Cricetulus griseus: one gene and its partner. The protein of the gene in region 1 purifies or fractionates together with the protein of each later gene. This does not show direct contact. Links are inferred from orthologs where the notes say so. Each region holds a gene or a part of one and is shown on either strand. Other genes may lie near its edges.

Region 1 (6,899 bases):
TGCCCCTCCCACCCCTCGCACCCGGGTCAGCTGGGGACAGCCTCGGTCTTTACTCTTTTGGGGGGCCTGTGGGGTACAGGGCTGTTGGGCTCTGGCTTACAAACAGCATTCACCGAGCCATTGAGATGTGCAGGAGGCTCAGTCTTGGGCACAGCAGGGCGTGGCAGAGGTGGCAGGGCCTTGTCCAGCACGCAGGGTCCATCCCAGGTGGGGATCTCCAGCCCCAGATGCTTCATGAGCCTGCTCATCACGTCATCCACGTAGCCATGGATTCGCAGGTCAGCCTGGCGGTCCTGCCAGAGTGACGGACAGTTAGGCCGGAGCAGGGGACATGGCAGGGAACACAGGGCCACAGGGCAGGGCATTGGCACATACGTGTTTTGTGGGCTGTAGGTTGACAATGACCAGACGGCCTCCCCGGCGCTTAGTGGCAAGGGGCAGGTTCCCACTTGGACGGATCTGCAGCGAGGTGCCCAGGGTGACTGACAGGTCTGCGGTCCTGGGAGCAGGAAGCAGTGAGGGGCTGGGGGCGTGGTCAGGGTGTGGAGCCCCGCCTAGAATCTCCCAGTAAGGGGCTGGGGGCGTGGTCAGGGTGTGGAGCCCCGCCTAGAATCCCCAGTGAGGGGCTGGGGGCGTGGTCAGGGTGGAGCCCCGCTTAGAATCCCCAGTGCGGGGTGGAGGTGGGGCTCTAGTTCTGTGCTTGTTTAGTGCACCAAGGCCCAGTATTCTCCCCAGTACCACAGAAACCCTGAAACAAGAAACCAAACAAAGCTTCCAATCATCCCAGGGTCCCCTCCGCACCTATCCTGCCCAAGGGTGTGGGTGCGCTGCAGAGGACACTCTGCTGTCCCACCCCTGAGTCCTGATCTTCTGTGGAAGTCTATCCCATGCCTGTACAGCTGTGCCCACCCACTGCCACCCAGGGAGCACGGGGTCACACCTGCTGGCCTCATCAGCGAGCATCAGGTCCCGTTCAGGCAGTGCGTCCTCCCAGTCCAGAATGGTGTCCCTCAGCTCCCCCCTGCAGCAGGTCAGGGAAGGGAGTTAGGGCCCTCACTTCCTGACAGGGGCAGGTGTGAGGAAGGTTACTCACCTACAGGCCCTTAGGCCCCTGGCCTTGGCCACTGTGCAGAGCCGGCCCGTGGCCTTGAGGCCCATGGTACCCACGACTGTCTCTCTCACGTATTGCCTGTACAGGGGGGAAGGAGGGGGATGTGACTTGTCTAGCGCTCTTTCAGGGGTCTGGGGGTGGTGTAACCAGTGTATGGGGTACAGGCTCAATCCCTGGGCTACACTGCAAGACCAACAGCCTAGGGATACAAAGACAGGTGCCTCAGTCTGGGAAGGGCTTGACATGCAGACATGAGGCCCTGAGTTCAAAAGGCGGCACAATGGAGCAGATTTACCACCCCAGCGCTGGAGACCCCAGGAGGTTCCTGGCCACTCAGCAAAACCAGCAATTGACAGGTTCTGAGAGACTGTGCTTCAGAACACAAGGAGAGGGGTTGAGTTAAGACACCTGATGCTGGGGCTGGAGAGCACTAACCGCTTTTCCAGAGGACCCAGGCTCAATTTCCAGCAACCACCTGGTGGCTCACAACCACCTGTAATGAGATCTGGTGCCCTCTTCTGACATAAAGGCGTACAAGCAGGCAGAACACTCATACATTAAGTAAATGGGTAAATCCTTAAACCCCCCCCCTCCAAATGACAACAGCAAAAAACCAAACCAACAACAATACAAGACCATCCACCAGTGTGTGTGTGGGGTGGCCAAACATGATGGCTCATTGGCTGTGATCTCAGCACCAGGAAGCAGAGGCAACTTAAAGAGGGGGTCAGGGGCTGAAGCTCAGGGGCACAGCTCTTGCCTAACACCCTCGAGGATCTGGTGTAAAGCAATGTTGTCTGCTGGCTGGGAGCCACAGCAGGGGGGTGGGGCAGGGAGAACCCCTCACTTCCAAGGATGTGGCTTGTGTCGCCCTGTTTTGTAGCTTCTTGCTTGGGGGACCTCCTCATAGCTTGTCTGTTTTTAACTGACTGTCACTGGAATCAGAGGCACCTCCCAGCTTTCCCTGGGGCCATTTCAGGACCTGTTAGCTGGTTCAGCGGAGGAACCTGGGAGAGCCCCACCCTGGGAGAGCCCCTCCCCTGCCGGTCTTCACTTGCGGACACTCACGTCTTACACTTGGGACATTCCTCTACAAACATGTTTCCATGGAGCTCAGCCAGCTTGTCCCTGCGGAAGAGAATGAGAGTCAGGTCCCTTCCTCCCTGAACCCTGAGGCTTGGACCAGTTGCTCAGCCTGCCTCTTCCTCCAGAAAGCCTTCCTAGGCTGCTCACCCACAAGGTCTAGGCTGAGGAATTGTTACAGGTGGCGATGACCCTATCTCTGCAAACACAAATAGCTGCTCCCCACTACAAAAATCTGTTGGCCAGATGGACCGTGGTGTCGCACGCCTTTAATCCCAGCACTCGGGAGGCAGAGGCAGGCGGATCTCTGTGAGTTCGAGGCCAGCCTGGTCTACAGAGCTAGTTCCAGGATAGGTTCCAATGCTACACAGAGAAACCCTGTCTCGAAAATCTTAAAAAACAAAAAAACAGAAAACAATCTGTTGGCCTTAGAGCACTTGCCTAGACGCCCCCAGTGAGGGGCTGGGGGCGTGGCTCAGGGTGGAGCCCCACCTAGAAACCCCCCCATTGACCAAGTGCTGGCCTACTTTAGGCTCCAAGCTCTTCCCCCCTTTCCATCTCCAATAAAATGTCCCTGACCCCGGGCAGGCAGCCTGGTTCCCGGATAAGGAAGGGGTGCAGCTGAGCCCCACGCCCCTGGTCCAGTCCCATCTGACCTGGGGAAGCCCGAGCGTACGTGCAGCCCGTCCACATTCTGGCTGACGAGGAAGCTGAGGAAGCCCGAGCGCTCCAGCTGCACCAGGGCCATGTGGGTCTTGGAGGGCCGGGCGTTCTCGAAGGTGGTGTCAAACTTGGGGGCCAGGCCACGCTCTTCCATGGTCCACACGCCGTGGGGGCCTCTGAGGACAGCGAGCAGAGGACAGAAGTTCCTTTTCGAGTGCAGGCCTCGTCCTGGGAGCCTGAAGTCAGTGTGTGCTGCGGGCTGGGTCCCTGTCGGGGAGAGCCAGCCGGCCAGCCGGGGACCCCGCAGCCGGGGACCCCGCAGACGCGTCCCAGCATCCCCTGCAGCCACACATCGCCGGGATCTGTGGCGGCTGCCCCACCTCACGGCCGTCCCCGCCAGCGCCCTGCCTCAGTTTCCCGTGCTCGTTCACAGACCTGAAGTCGGGGATGCCGGAGGCGGTGCTGATGCCGGCGCCCGTGTGGAAAACCACGCTGGAGGCCTGCAGCATCAGCCGGGCCAGCTCCCCCACCTTCCGCTCCAGCTCCTCCGGGGGGTCGAAGATCTGTGGGGACGGGGGCACAGCTGGGCTCAGGGACGGACCCCACCGCACCGCACCCACCCCGCCCGCGGGGTCCTCCTTCCAGGAAAGTCCTTCCCGCTGTCTACACTCCGTGTTTCGTGCTGTCCCCACAATGCCCCACTCGTCCGGGCCCCCGTCTGGCGACCGGGACACCGTGGCCTCACCTCCGGCAGCCCGCACTTGCCCTTATCCGCATACGGCGACAGCCCGGCTGCGTAATTCACCGACATCGTCGCCAACAGCGCAGACGGGAACAATAAAGTTTCCCTTGTTGAGGCCGCTTCCGCCGGAAATGGGGAAGGGACCGCCGGGGTGGGAGCGTTAGAGGCGGAGGAGGTGTTTCCCCCCGGAGCGCGCGCGCCGCACTGACGCCGCGGGCGCCATCTTTAGTGCTGGCAGAGACTTGCGGGCTGCCTCGCGAGCCTTCCCTTCTCGTCCCCGGCGCGCTCGCAGGAACCGAGTCCCAGCCCAGCCTGGCTGTGCAATGAGACCCTGTTTCAGAAAAGCGACAAAACCAGCAACAAAAACCATTAAAAACAACCCCCGGAACTCTCACTCCGTGGGTAGAGCTCACCCCTCGTGCATACAGCCGCGGCGGGAGTTCGAAGCCCGTCTAGAGGTCGTGAGACCCTGGGCGGCCTTTGGGTCTCTGCTGTGCGGCTGTCAGCCCGTGTCTGCCCCTTTCTGAGCCACAGGATAGAATGAATGGGAACTTGGGGTTCACAGGCACCCCCTCCCCCGGGCGCCCTGCCAGCATGTTCTCAGCTTTGTTTCTGGGGATAGCACAGAGCATCACGGTCAGGTCCCCACGTTACACAGAGGGGCCCGGAGACGCAGAGAGAGATGGGGAAGGGGATACTGGGTCAGAAGCACCTCCTGTGATCCCCTCCTGTGGCAGTCCATCCTGACCCCTGTGCCTGCTGGTGGTCAGACGGGACCAGGCCACGGCGATGGGGGCAGCAGTCCTTGGGGCTGCCCACATGAGCAGGCTGGCCAACAGCAGTCCTCCCTCTCTGGGCTCATCCCGTCCCCCTGGGCGGATGCCCCCCCTTCCTGATCAGGTGTCACCCCGACTCTGCTGCTGGCAGCTCGCACTTGGAGCGGGTAACCAGAGAGGCTGTGGTGCACGCAGTGCTCTGGCCTAGAGACGCCTCAGGTAGGGGGATGAGACTGTGAGAGGCCAGGGAAGACGCTGCTCTGGGTCCCAAGGAAGGGGATACTGTGTCAGGGGGTTGGGGAGGGGGCTGCTTGCGACACCCGAACACATACATGCACCTGCACACTCGTGACAGGTACACGGGACCCACCCGACATGCGCGGACCTCGCTCAATGTGCGGCCTCCTCCCTGAACCATTGTGGGAACCCACAGGTCAGCGGACCTGTGCTGCCCCACCTCTTCCAGGAGGGAGACCCCTAAATTCACAGGCCTTACCCACACGATTCCATCCTGACTGCCAACCTGAGTTTCCTGTTACCCTTGGGTGTGATTGAACTTTATAATTGGGGGTGAGAATGAGCTGTACACTGAGCTGTAGAGGAGAAAGGAAGGATGGACAGGTGGGTGGATGAATGGATGGATGGATGGATGAGTGGATGGATGGATGGATGGATGGATGGGGTGGATGGGTGGGTGGTGGGTGGGGGGGGTGGATGGATGGATGGATGGGTGGGATGGGTGGATGGATGGGTGGGTGGTGGGTGGGTCTTCCCTGAATAGATTGCTTTTGCTCATTGAGAGTAGTCAGAAACGTGACTGGCCTTCCTACAAGGGGCTGATTGTCAGGTGTCTCCTTCCCTCAACCCCAGTAAGTAAAAAGTTTGTTACTGGCAACCCTGGATGCAGTCTAGTGGCTGCACCTTGCTTAGAAGCCAGATTAAAGACAGAGGAAGTGCCCCCGCTGGGGAAAATGGAAGTAGTTCCAACTGGGGAGATATACTTCATTCTGTCTGGGAGACAACACTGATCAGCACCTGGGGTTTTTAGGGTTAGTTCTACAGAGAAGGAGGGTGGGTCTTAGCATCAGTGATTGCACAAGAACAAGATTGCAGAGCTGTGTGAGGTGCTTGAGCTAATGGGGTCGTGGTGATGCCTGTTACTGTCCATCAGCCCCTTCTGGGGACTGTGCTGTTGGGTGAAGGATTAGCTCCTCTGTTTACAGTTGGGGACAGTTTCCTCAGACAGGGCAACTCACCTTCTCAGGGACACACAGCAGAGAGGGACTGGCAGTGTGGGAGAACAGAGGCTGTGCTGTGCAGGATGCTATGACTGACCCCCCCAGCACGCTGGCTCACTCCACCCATCCCTTCCCCAGAGACAGGACCAGAGTCCCCAGCTGGCTTGATGAAGACCCTCCGGGCAAGGTTCAAGAAGACAGAGGTGAGTCTGCAGGCCTGGGAGAGGGCACAAGCCCTCATCCCCACCTCATTCTCAAACTGCCATCGTAGCTCAGAGCCCAGGGCTCTGCCTTTAGCTCCCTCCACCACCCAGGCCCCTAGTAGCTGCCCTAGCAGCTTCATGGACCAGTTCTTTTTGTGCTAGCAGAATGCTAACCCTGCACATGGGCCCACTGACTCCCTCTGGTGGCCCAGCTCTGCTTTCCCACTCCTGCTTTCATTTGAATCCCTCTGAATCTAGCAATTCTCTGCTCCACGACCTCCGTGTCACCCTCACACGGGTTCGTCAAGGAATGAATTTATATTGTCTGCATTTGGGAGATGAAGGGAGGCTTAGAGACGGTGTGGAGGCTGCACAAAGTCACACAGCTCCGAAGGGTCCTGCCTCCTATGGGGGCTGGGCATCTGTGGATGTGACCTGCACGGGGGAATGGGAATGGAAGGGCTTGGAGAGAAACAGAGACAGAGACAGAGAGAGCGCGAGAGCAGTCACTTTCCTACACAGTAAGGCTGGACTGGCCCCCTAATATTTTCCAACTCACAGAACCCCTGAGAATCACAGCCAGTTGAAATCCAGTCACTGCAAAAGCCGAGTCATGGACCGGCAAGATAGCTCAGTGGGGAAAGGTGCTTGCAGCTAAGCGTTTTCTGTATGTGTTGCCTGCATCCATGTTCGCGCACACCGGCGGAGGCTGGGAGGGGGCGTCGGGTCCCCATAACGGGAGTCACAGGCGGTTGTAAGCTCCGTATGGATGCTGGGTCCTCTTCAGAGGCAGCCGGTGTGCTAACCGCTGAGTATCTCTCCTGAATTTGATTCCCAGAATCCACTGGTGAAAGGAGGAAAATGAGTTCTCAAAGTTGTCCTCTGACCTCTGCCTCGGTGCACCTGTGCACGTACCCATGGAAATGTAGTTTTTTAAATCAGAGGAAAAAATACTTTCTGAAAAGCCGAATTAGACCAGCTGTGATAGTGCACGCCCTTATTCCCAGCACTTGGGAGGCAGAGGCAGGTGGATCTCTGTGAGTTCGAGGCCAGCCTGGTCTATAGAGTGAGTTCCAAGACAGG
Region 2 (5,268 bases), on another chromosome or scaffold:
AATTCCAGGGGATCCAATGCCCTCTTCTGGCCTTCTCCAACACAGACATACACATAGTGTATAGGTAGGCATGCAAGAAAACACTCATACACATAATATAAAACTAAATAACAAGGGTGGTGAGATGGCTTAGTGGGTAAAGGCACCTGCCACCAAGCCTCACAACCTGAGTTGGATGTGTGGAACCCACTTGTATGTGTGTGTGGCACTTACACATAATAAATGTAATTAAATTTTTTAAAAAAGGAAATTACCATCAGATAAGCTACTTTGGCTTCCCACAAAGGATAATCAGTAACCTTTTTCAGCCTCGTCCAGAATCTAAGCCTGAATCTCAGATTCCACCACAAAGACCTCAGAGAGATCAGAGAGTTCGAGAGCAACGGATCAATATTCCTCCTCAGAGGGGACCCCGGCCAAGTAAGAGCTTTGGCGACTTGTCTGGCTTGGGATGGTTTTAAGAGGAGAATGTATCTTGACCTGGCTGGTGCAGTGGAACGATTTGGTTTTGGGTGGGGGGAATCTTGTTTGTGAAGGGTCTCTGAGACTCTTGTTTTGTCTTTGAAGTCCGTGAGGCTGGTGAGCCAGGAGATGTGGAACCTCGGAGGATGGTGAGGCACCCTGACAGTCACCAGCTCTTCATCGGGAACCTGCCACATGAGGTTGACAAGTCGGAACTGAAGGATTTTTTCCAAAGTAGGTGCTTGAGTCTCAATGTGGTCCTGATTTCCTAGACAGCATCACACAGTGGAGGCACAGGTGTAATGTCAGGTTTTCTAGTAACAAGGAGTGGGCTTAAGGCCTGGTTAGTCCAATTCCGAAATGAACCTTCCTTTCCACAAACATGACTTCTGCCTGAGCAGTCACTCCAAAATAAGTGTCATAGCTGTCACTTCCCTTGAGCGTGACACCAAGTGGAAGATTCCACCCTGATCTCAGTGTCATGAGTTGCAGGTGTGCTACAGCGTTGCATGACACTCCTTCACAGTGGTGAATAAGGAGCATGTGAGAGGTGTAATGCATTGTCTTTTACACTTGGGTCCGCTCGCCAAGATCCAAAGTTCACAAAGTTCACAAACCCCATGGCCTGGAACCCTTAGATCTTGGTTAGTATAGGCATTCATCTAAGGGGCATTTGAACTCTCTTTTTGCATTTTAGTTTGACATCTTGGAAATCATTTTAAATTCATTAGCACATCTTGCTCTTGATGTAAGCTGAATGCTGTAAAACTGGGTGCCTGCAAGGAAATTGTGAGCTCTTTGCACTTACAGATTATGGGAACGTGGTGGAGCTGCGCATTAACAGTGGCGGGAAGTTGCCCAACTTCGGTTTTGTTGTGTTTGATGATTCTGAGCCTGTTCAGAAGGTCCTCAACCATAGGGTAAGTAGATTTGCATCTCTCTGTGTGTGTTTTAAGATTTATTTTTATTTTATGTGTATGCGTTTTGACTTCATGTATGTATGTGTGCCAGGTGTGTGCGGTGCTCTTAGATTGAGAAAATTGGGGACACATCCCCTGGCAGTGGAGTTAGCTATTTTGATAACTCCCAAGGCTTCTGACCATGCATATGACACTTCAAGTACTTTCCACCTCTGCATTTCACTGACGTTTACTGCACTCATTTCAGTGTTTGTTTGTTTGTGGGTTTAGCACTACCTCCTTGTGTGTCACTTTCCATGCAGGAGGCCATGTTCACATTCAACTCCAAAGCTGTGGAGGCGTCTTTTTTTTTTTTTTTTTTTTTTAATCAACGGATCTCTCTGATGCGTTTCTCTGGCTTTGGAGGCTGTCTTGGAACTAGCTCTTGCAGACCAGGCTGGTCTCAAACTCTCAGAGATCCGCCTGCCTCTGCCTCCTGAGTGCTGGATTAAAGGCGTGTGCCTCCCCCCCCCCCCCCCCCCCCCCCCCCCCCCCCCCCCCCCCCCCGCCGGATGCGTCTATCATTGAGTTTACCTGAAGTTTGAGTTACTTATGTTTCCAGGGCTGTTTAGACTCTTTTCTACTCCCTGAACAGCTCACCACAGGTGCATGTATTAGTTCAACAGAAGCAGGTTTGTGAGAACTAGTTGGTTGAAAGCTGCTTGCTCCTTAGGGTTGTGTTGTTCACTTCTGATAGTCACGGTCAGGGTCAGGAGCCGGACTCAGTGTCTGCTTTCTTTGTTCCTCACACAGCCCATCATGTTCCGAGGCGCAGTCCGTCTGAATGTGGAAGAGAAGAAGACTCGAGCTGCCAGGGAAGGAGACCGCAGGGATAACCGCCTTCGGGGACCTGGAGGCCCCCGTGGTGGGCCGAGTGGTGGGATGAGAGGCCCTCCCCGCGGAGGCATGGTGCAGAAACCAGGCTTTGGTGTGGGCAGGGGGATTACAACTCCAAGGCAGTGAATTACTTGGCCCAGATCTCCACACAGCACACAGCCCTGGCTCCTGCAGAATGGTGAATTCCTTCAACCAGCCTTTGGTGTCTTGGAGTAGTCTATTATAAACTGCTCAAGTTTGTACAATTTTAATTTCGCTTGTGTTCATGGTGTGTGCCCCCCACTTCCCCTTTCCTCCCCTGACCTTTTAGTCCTTCACTTCCAGTTTTCTGGAACGATACTTTAGGAGGAGTAGGATTTTAAGAAGAGGAGGGAGTCTCACCTTCCTGCTCACGCTGCAGATACAGACTGGAGTGTAACGGCCATTCCCCAAAGGAGCGCGTCTCGCTTCTCACTGACAATGGATGTTTCATTTGTTGGGAGACACAGGATTTGATAAACATTTTGGAAGCAGGAAAAATCCATGTTATCTGTCAAGAGTCACGACTCCGTTCTGGTGTGGAAAAATTGCCTTTTGGCAACTGCCACTGGGTCCCTGCTGGTGTGGCTAACTGAATAAAAGGTGTTTCCAGAACTTTGTTCTTTTGACATGTGATTACCAAACAGTTCCAAACATCTGTTTTTACCATTGGATTTTAATTGTGACGTAGCCTGTCAATGTCTAGAACGCAGCTAAGGATTTTTGTTGAACTGTTAGTTTTTTTGAGGTAGAGTTTTTCATGTTTTATTTGTATTTGTAAAAAAAAAAAAAAAGAAAAAAAGGACAAAAATCCCCGCAAGAAAACAAACCCCAAATCTGATAACAAAACCAAGCAAAACTGTGCCTTCTATTTATCTTTGATTCTGGCCCTGGCAATTGTTTAAAGAAAAGTAATAAAGATTCTAGATTTGTTTTCAGATTCAGAGTATGTGGGGGAACTGTAGAATTTTTTTGATCACCTGTATGTGTCGTGTTAACATTGTTCTGCCTTATCCTAAAATCACGCCTCAGACTGGACCGCTTTTGAGGAAGGTGCTTCTGTGAGGCCTCTGACCTCAGTGGCTGACGGGCCACATTCTACTCTGCTGTCTATCGGGTTCCTGATAGGCCCCTCAGAAGGATTTGGCTTGAATCTTGGACTTGGCTAATGTACTCCAGGGTCTGCATATTTTTTTTCTTTAAATCATAGCCATATGGTAAATTTTCTATTTTGTTACGGTTCTCTTTTACTGATGGACATGCAGTGGGTGTTTCTTGGAAAAGGCCAATTTTTATTAAAATATTTCTGGAAGAAAACTTCATTTGACAATGTAGACTGCTAAAACTCACTTCACAGTGTTGTGTTGAGTGCTGTGTGTGAAGTGGGTGAAGGTTTTGTTTATACAGACTTGGTGTGTGAATAACCAGATTGTCAAATCTAACTTTTCCTAATGTAATTTGTGTGTGTGTGTGTGGGGGGGAATGGGGTGGGGGAGTTTCACACATGGGTGTACCACAGCATACTTGTAGGAGTCAGAGGACAGATTGGGTGCCAGTCCTTATATTCTACCGTTTGAGACAGTCTTATTTTTCTCTGCGTCAGCCAGGCTAACTAGCCCATAAGCCACAGGTAGTCCAGGGACTGCAGACATGTGCCAGATCTGACTTTTCTGTGGGTTCTGGGGATTAGAGTCAGATCTTCACACTTGCACATAGCATGGTAGTCATCTCCTCACTTCCTTAATGTTCATTTTGAAAACGGTCATGGATGGGTAAGTTCGGTTTTGTTGTCAGAAAGGCTAGTTGGGATAAAAATGAGAGGTTATCAGTTTGGGCTCAGCACCTCACAGATCAGAATTTTGGCAGCACCTGCAGGTGATGACTAGCTTAGGGTCAATTTAAATATCTTCATTTCAGACCAATGATTATAACAGGTACTTGTGTAGATTACATAAAGTGTTGGGTGGCTCATGACTTTAATCCCAACACTCAGGAGGCAGAAGCATGTGTGTCTGTGTGAGGCTAACCTGCTCTATGAAGCAAGTTTGTTCCAGCCAAGGCTGCATAGTGTGACCTTGTCAAAAAACAAAAGGTAGCCATAGAGAGACAAAAGGTACCCCAGACTACTGAAAAACACAGAAGCAATGCCTTTTGGCACAGGTTTATAGTCTCAGATAATATGCCCTGGGCACAGGAAAATCTCAAGTTCAAAGCCAGCCAGGCCTTTGTAATAAGGTCTGTCTGTAAGATTCAGTAGCTCGATAAATCTAAAAATGATTTTTACAATTGAGGACTAAGTCAAATAGTAGTTCTTTATAGCCAGGAGTACTAACCTAAAGAGGTGATTGGCATTTGGCTGTGTAAATTGAGGTGTCATGGGATGTGGCTCTTACCCTCTTTGGAAATAAGGGTGACATCTGGATTGAATCTGTGGATACAGGGAATGGTGGTGGAATTGGGAGATGAAAGTGCTGTTCTCTTCAGCCTCAGATAAGTGACCTCTACTGTGCAGGCTGTGTGTGTGTGTGTGTGTGTGTGTGTGTGGAGGGGGGAGTGCCCGGGCCCGAATTGCTTGTGACAGGTTAGGGGTCTGCTTGAGCCCCACTTTACAGCAGTGGGGTTGGGATAGGGGTGCTTTGAAAGGTCATGGGCCTGACAGGACTTGGCAACACAGTTAGCACTGAGAATCTGGATGCCAGTCTGTCAATATTGATACCACATGAAGCCAAAAACAGCTTAGTAGAGGTACCCATGGTCACACAGAAAGCATAGGGTCTCTGTAAGTGGCTGCCCCTTAGCCTTCTCAGATGAAATTAAGATCTGTAGGGATGACTGCATAGTTCTTTGCCATTGAGCAGGGTCTTAACCAGTATTTTAGCTAAGTGAGTCCTACTCTTATGTGTACATGTGTGCGTGTTTGTGTGAATGTTTACCATGTGTGTGCAGGTGCCTAGGGAATCAGAAGATGTTGATGACCCCCCTGGAGTTGGAA

The links.
Region 2: the proteins of Sirt6 (region 1) and G3bp1 purify together in Homo sapiens (affinity purification with mass spectrometry; 3 studies listed by BioGRID and IntAct, with this or other methods). This does not show direct contact. The link is inferred for Cricetulus griseus from reciprocal best matches to the Homo sapiens genes SIRT6 and G3BP1.

What each region holds. Positions count from the first base shown.
Region 1 is NC_048598.1:102,383,330-102,390,228, forward strand, and holds the start of Sirt6 (NAD-dependent protein deacetylase sirtuin-6), read right to left. Parts: upstream 3,755-6,899; 5' UTR 3,669-3,754; coding exon 3,603-3,668; intron 3,421-3,602; coding exon 3,293-3,420; intron 3,094-3,292; coding exon 2,851-3,093; intron 2,240-2,850; coding exon 2,180-2,239; intron 1,190-2,179; coding exon 1,094-1,189; intron 1,022-1,093; coding exon 941-1,021; intron 749-940; coding exon of another isoform or gene 607-748; exon of another isoform or gene 543-606; intron 500-542; coding exon 376-499; intron 294-375; coding exon 27-293; 3' UTR 1-26. UniProt on the Homo sapiens protein: NAD-dependent protein deacetylase, deacylase and mono-ADP-ribosyltransferase that plays an essential role in DNA damage repair, telomere maintenance, metabolic homeostasis, inflammation, tumorigenesis and aging.
Region 2 is NC_048600.1:69,677,770-69,683,037, forward strand, and holds the end of G3bp1 (ras GTPase-activating protein-binding protein 1), read left to right. Parts: intron 1-308; coding exon 309-420; intron 421-567; coding exon 568-696; intron 697-1,272; coding exon 1,273-1,382; intron 1,383-2,174; coding exon 2,175-2,384; 3' UTR 2,385-3,593; downstream 3,594-5,268. UniProt on the Homo sapiens protein: Protein involved in various processes, such as stress granule formation and innate immunity. Plays an essential role in stress granule formation.